2 linked regions of the Xenopus tropicalis genome follow. The protein of the gene in region 1 binds, or shares a complex with, the protein of each later gene. Links are inferred from orthologs where the notes say so. Each region holds a gene or a part of one and is shown on either strand. Other genes may lie near its edges. The genes, in order: nhp2 and dkc1.

Evidence for each region.
Region 2: nhp2 (region 1) and dkc1 share a complex: the UniProt entries of both Homo sapiens proteins name them as parts of the H/ACA small nucleolar ribonucleoprotein (H/ACA snoRNP) complex. The link is inferred for Xenopus tropicalis from reciprocal best matches to the Homo sapiens genes NHP2 and DKC1.

What each region holds. Positions count from the first base shown.
Region 1 is NC_030679.2:47,804,712-47,807,169, reverse strand, and holds the end of nhp2 (H/ACA ribonucleoprotein complex subunit 2-like protein), read left to right. Parts: intron 1-1,102; coding exon 1,103-1,228; 3' UTR 1,229-1,666; downstream 1,667-2,458. UniProt on the Homo sapiens protein: Required for ribosome biogenesis and telomere maintenance. Part of the H/ACA small nucleolar ribonucleoprotein (H/ACA snoRNP) complex, which catalyzes pseudouridylation of rRNA.
Region 2 is NC_030684.2:38,918,743-38,923,081, forward strand, and holds the start of dkc1 (H/ACA ribonucleoprotein complex subunit DKC1), read left to right. Parts: upstream 1-1,357; 5' UTR 1,358-1,452; coding exon 1,453-1,468; intron 1,469-1,584; coding exon 1,585-1,643; intron 1,644-3,025; coding exon 3,026-3,112; intron 3,113-3,401; coding exon 3,402-3,493; intron 3,494-3,851; coding exon 3,852-4,036; intron 4,037-4,339.

The sequences.
Region 1 (2,458 bases):
GGAAAGATCCCTTATCCAAGAACCCCCAGGTCCTGAGCATTCTGTATAATGGGTCCCATACCTGTACTATTGGAGAAAAATAGGGATTCTTCACAAATCTATCCTAATGGGCCTTTAAACTACTGGTGTCTTCTAACATCTTATATTTACCAGATCTAGTCACTGCAAAATGAGTGTGATTTCTTTACTTTAGTCCTTTGTCATACAACTAATACTTATAGACAGATCTTCTAAAAACAAAATTGCAAAAACAAATTCTCCTATACAAAGTCCTACTCAATTGTGCATAATACTCTTCTTGGTTAGAAACTTCTAGCAAACATTTACTGTGTAAGGGAATGGCACATAAACCATTGTAGGTGTTTTGCCACCTGAGTGATTTATTGAGAATCTCAGTCAAATATTCCTGGAACCAGTCATTGTGTATAACAAGAGGCAGCACTACATAGAATGCTAATGTTAAGCATTACACATATCTGCAGACATAGAAACACTGGTGACAATGTCCTTTGGCTTCCATTAATTTTAGTGGGAAGTGAAAGTGTCTGTTTTCCAGTGAAAAACTGCTCACAAACGTAACATTTTTGGATGGAAAGTGCTACCACGCTTCTGATCTGCTGCTATTATAGTCAATGGGTGCTTTGGTAGGCAGTTTAGGAAGGGTTGGGTTTGCTTTTGCCAGAAAAATGCTGGCATTTCACATTAGCATATGAAATTAAGTAAAGTACAGATTTTAAATAGACAAGGTTTTTAGTTAAAGACACAATACATTAGAATGTAACAAAAATGATTGTGAGATGCTCCAAGGTTTGATCCTGTATTTTGTAATGTTCTATTCTATAACAAGCTTAAATTGGCTTATTTTTATTTTTCCATATACATCTGATATTTAGTGTTTAGTCAGTGAGAAGCCATGCCCTGCCAGTTGTCACTTTAAAGACATCTCTCCAATGTAGCCTAAATATCCAGTTTTTCAAATTTCTTGTTATTTTAAGGCCTTCAACTATTTCTGAATTCTAACACATGATTAGTTAATTCTTGGCCATCTATCCTAGTATAGTATTGATATTTGTGTAAGGTGATACATTTGCGCTTGTTTCAGGACCTAGGAGCAGCTGCTGGCTCCAAGCGCCCGACCTGTGTGATACTGATCAAACCACATGAGGATTACCAGGAAGCATATGATGAATGTCTAGAGGATGTACAAGCCCTTCCGTTACCCTACTGATCTGGACAACTTTAGAGGATACTTTTCCATTAACCATTCTGGCATACTGTGAGGAAAATGGTACCAGACATTTCTTCGTACACACTTTGCATGCAGCTCTAAAGACAAACTGTGAGGACATTAAAGTGTTTGCTGTAATGTGTCAGCTAACCCTTCTGTCTAGGGCTGAGCCAGTTAGGAAATTACAGTTCATTTACTGATTAACAGAGCCTGTTAACACCATTTTTTTAAAGAAATGTTTTTTGGAGATGGATCCTAATTTTGGAAGGGGAGCTTCTTTGTAACAGATACTGACACTTGCTGGAGTACAGATCTAAATTTATGTCCCCCTGCCTGGTATCCCAAGATATCCATAGCACAGTGATATGGGTCAAAGAAGGTTAATTTTCAATTTGAATATAGACATATTACGAAATAAATGACCAATATTTTTTGTTATATATGGATTATTTTCCTGCCTATTCTCTCTTTAAGATAACTGCTCATTCTGGGAGCGGTCAAGGTGAACAATTAGTGTTTTAGGGTAAGAAAATAAAGCATGTTGGGTTTTTTTTGGTGGGTTTTTTTTATTATTCAGGACACATTTCCATTAGGGCCCTTTATTTGGCTGATGGGTCATGCTGTCACGTCATGTGGGTGGCTAAGAAAACATGCAGCAAATATCCCCTAGTAGCCATTTAGCGGGGTTAACAGGAATTGGCCCCTACAGCTGTTTGACTTCAATCAAAATCTTGTTAAAGTGCAATTAAATGATGTTTAGGCAGATTTAAAAAGCCCATGTTGTTCTGAAAAAAAGAATGATATAAAATTTTTCTAGGTAACTAAACTTTGCCCTGGTAATGTCATGAAATATCTAGCAAATAAAATGCTAAATTCTACACAAGGAAAATTATTTTGAGCACATCTGGACTGTGTTTCAAAAGAGGCCCTGGCATTTCAATAAATAATGATTTGTATATGGCATCTTACAGCAGCTGCCAGAACCCACAGATTGCCAATCGGGGACTGCTTTGGAGTCATAGGCTATCAAACAATGTTAAGACACACCTCTTGGTGCTGGAGCTAAGGCATGCATGTCTTTTGGATGAATAAAAGCCATAAATGGAAAAAAAATGGCATTTTACAATGCAATCTTCATTAGGCCTTTATTAAAGGAGAATGAGAGGTGTAATCTCTCTGGGGTGCCAAAATTCTAGGCACCCCATCAGTGATTATGATCACCTACCTGAG
Region 2 (4,339 bases), on another chromosome or scaffold:
CATTACAGCTTTTTAACCCATCCACACTGCAGAGCTCCCAGTAGCCACAAACACCTTAGGTTGGATCATGAAAAATTGTTACAGTTGTTGTCACACTATGCAAACAATCTCATATTAAAGATGTTTATTCGAACCTTGAATACATTTACTGAAGAAAATGAGTTAAGTTTGAAACATTCCTTACAAGGACACAAAACGCATGGTGGAATACTGCCAGGGACAGATAATAGGACCAGTGTCGGACTGGGGGTTGCAGGGCCGGCCATGTCCCCTAACCGCCCGCAGGGTCCCCCACCCGACGTCCTCCCCGAGCGCGCATAAATTTAATGCGTCAGGGGAGGAACAGTCGGCCGGGGAGCGCCGGCAAGGGTCGGGTCTGGGCTGCAGGGGCTTACTAGGCCCACTGGGAATTTCCTGTTGCCCAGTCCAACCCTGAATAGGACCAAGTTTATGAACTTGTTGCATGAAGATTTATGTCAAAGTTTGTTGAGCCAACCAGAAATTATGCTGTACTGGATCTAGTGGTCTTGAATGACCCTAAACAGTTGGTTGAACCTCTGGGTAACAGTGACCATAATGGTATTTAAAGTTTGTTGCAAAAACCACAAATATACTCAAGGGCAGGATTTCAGAACCTAGATTGGGGCATTATGTTTGCTGCTAATTACACAGAAGAGAAATGGTTGTGGTACAATCTCAGTAAGCTACTAAAATTCCTCTGTGCATTAAGAGTGACCCAGTTGGCCAGGGTCTTTCAGTACTAGTACCTGACACCTTCACAGGTAATAAGGGGGTTGAGCTCTCTCTCTATATAGATTGAAGCAAATCCAATTACATTTTATCAGGATATATGTAGTACACAGGATCAGGTCTGTTGATTTCATATATTAAAACATAAAGCTTCTGCTACTGTTTCTAACAGATCGCTATATGAAATAGTATAGTAGTCAGGCTGGAATCAAACTGAGGAGCCCAGCGCTGCAAGTCGGGGTTGTTGGCTTCACATCCCTGATAGGTAAAGAGAATAAGACTGTGTGTCTGTACACGTGTTGCTTGTCCTGTCCCACTGTTCCCTCTCTAAGGGCTATCTATCAGCGCAAATACCCTCTGTAACATCCAAACACTGCCCGCAGCCACATATTTATTATAAGTGTATCTGCCCTATGATTCCCTGCTGCGGAATGTTTTATATTCGAAGAACAGCCAGCTAAACCAAATAAGCACACACGCTCTTCGCATTTTGAACATGGCGCATTAACAGGCGGCCTCCCCCACACAAGTGGCAGAGACGTAACAGAGAGAGATGCCATAGGCTGTCGGTCAGTGCCATGTGATGCGCCCCTAGCAGGAAGGGGCGGGCGCCCCAGGGGTAGCTCCTCCCATGTGCTATATCCGGTTAGTGCTCTCACTATTCGGCCTCACTCACCGCGTGTTACAGGAGAGAGAGAGGACATGGCGGACGGGGAGGGTGAGCAGTTTCTGCAGATGACTTCCATGCAGTTTGCAGTTTGAATGTGCCCAGCGCCGTAGCTGCACATTTCATTTCGTTGCCTTGTTTTTAATTTTGCTTTTTCTCACTTTTAGGTTCCAAAAAGAAGGCGAAAAAGCGTCGCAGTCAGATTCTCGGAGCAGAGGACGTGGCAGTGAGTCCCCCCTCTAATATAATAAATAGTAATACTGTGCAATGGTTATTCAGGGAGGTTCTGTATGCGCACTGAGCAGGTCTGTCTGGGTCGGTTCTGATTTCCTGTACTGGCCCATAGGCGGAAGGCTTGCAAAGCATGGCCAACACTGGCCGCCATTAAATACGGGATTGCAATATAGAAAGCGATAACTTTAGAAAACGCAGAAATAACACCATGTGAAAGAGGCAATTTAATGGCAACTTCTTTATTTTGATCCTGGCTGTTTTGCTACATTTATCTGAGGGGGGCCCTTCAATTAGAAATGCCACGTATTGAATCTGAACCTTAATTTGGGGATTGAAAGTTGAGGGAAAATAAAGTTTTACACGAGTTTCAAAGTCCTAAGAGTTGGAGGCCTCTGATGTGGGTTGGCAGTTAGGTCTTGGACAAATCCTATGGTCTGTGGACCCCTACTTTTATAAGGGAGTTGTCTGAAAAAACCTAGTGGTTTCAACCAATGAAATAAGCTGTCTTTGGTGCAAATGTGACCAAAAGTGTGGAGTGTTAAAGGGCAATGAAATGCACAGATGCCTCTTTTATAAATTACTCAATTACCCCTCCAACTATATTAAGTGCCCCTTCATCATTTGCCCAGTTTTCCCATTAGAATGCAGAGTAGTGTTGAAGGGTTAGGGACAGCCATGCCATATTCATTGTGCAAGTGTCCCTCAGGTTAAATGTGGAGGAGAATTTGCACTGGAAGCTGCTCTGGTCCTGTTTTCCAGTGAACAGAAATCGGTAATGCAGAGCCTGCACACCAGAAGTAATGTGGCTGGTCATAGTGGCTGCCAGCCCTGTTCTTCTAGATTTTCAACCCATTTATAGAACAAGGAGGCAGTCAGTGGGAGAACACTTAAAAAATCCTTCCTTTTTAACAGCATCAAGGGGGCAACACGTGTTTAAAAAAAAAAATGTAGGTGTGGCTTCCTTGCCCTCTAAGGGCAGTTGGTACACAGTCTCAAATATTTGCGGCAGCTGCAACAGGCATTGAGGAAGCTGCAACAGGCACTGGCCACTCTGTTACGGACATGGGTATTGCTTAATAATGCAGTTATTTAACAAAACAGTGTATGAAAGGTGCAGATTATTAAGATTCCATTTGGCCAGGTAATGCAAAATAAAAACCAAGGAAACTTTTCAGGGGTCTGACAATAGTGTATTGCTTCTCTGTGCTTGATGGAACTATCCTTTTGCTGAAGTGTTAGTACCATGTAACAAGGGATTAACAGCAGAAAGTGTACTAGGTTGGTTGGTCCACTTAATAGAGCATCTCCTATGATGTCATTGATGAATTAAGATAATACGGGAATCTCATATTAACTCCTTTCCTCCTCTTGCAGGATATTCAACATGAGGGAGACTTTCTAATCAAACCTGAATCTAAAGTGGCTCAGCTAGACACATCTCAATGGCCTTTACTTCTCAAGGTCTGTATGTGGCAAGGATGAAGCTATCAATATTTATTGGAAATTAATTGGAGACATGGCACTCTGTATCAATATGTTGTATGTTTTTGCATTTCTTTTTAGACTTGTGGCATATGATCTTTATAAATGTGTTAATGAATAACCCTGTTTCTTCAGTGATATCTTTTACAGTGCTAGAAATATTTACCCCAATCATACTACATCCCCCTACTGCTATGCACATAAAATTTACATTAGCTAGAGTTAAGCTTATACCATACTTTATCAATATGTTTGTTCTTTCCCTTAGAACTTTGATAAATTAAACATCCGAACAGCTCATTACACTCCTATTCCATCTGGTTCCAACCCACTGAAAAGAGAGATTTCTGAATATATTAAGTAAGTCAAGGGTGTTTTTTCAATCAACATACTGTTTGCTTACAGTGCTATTGGGGTTTAAGAGTGAATCATTTTTATTTACTGCTCATTGTCTAGCAAATTCCATGCCTTGGTAAGGCATGTAAAAAGCCAGTTAGTAGTCCTTTTTCTTTCGGCAATCTGGAGGTGGTGTCATAGAAGGACACCACTTCAAATATTCTCTAATACAAATCTCTATGGAATAATATATATGCTAATAGGTTATAAACATCAGCCTGAATAGTGTGTGGTTTTTGTTTGTTTTTTTATACTTTATAATTTCAGTACCTGCTTGGATAAGGTGTAGGTATTGCTTCCACAGTCATTTATTCTCTCTCAGAACAGGGTTTATTAACTTGGATAAACCTGCTAATCCTTCATCACATGAGGTTGTAGCATGGATAAGGCGTATTTTAAGATCGGAGAAAACTGGTCACAGTGGGACCCTGGATCCGAAAGTAACAGGCTGTTTGATTGTCTGCATTGATCGCGCAACACGACTTGTAAAGTCGCAACAGAGTGCAGGTGAGTCCCGTCCTGAAACAAGATATAAATTACACCTTATGTTAAGATGAAGAGACTTGCTTATTTCAAAGATGTACTGTACACGGCATGCACAGGGACTGATGGTCCAAAGAAAACCAAATTGGGCCATGCAAATTCTCTTGAGAAATGCTCTTGGCTAGTAGGAGTAGGATTTTAAATTGTATTGCTTAAATTTTTTAATTACCAGTTCTGGTATATTTCAACAAGTAGGCAGGATGTATTTATTGGTCTACTGTTGCTGAAAGCAAACTTTAGAAGAAACTTACTCATACTCCTGGCTTT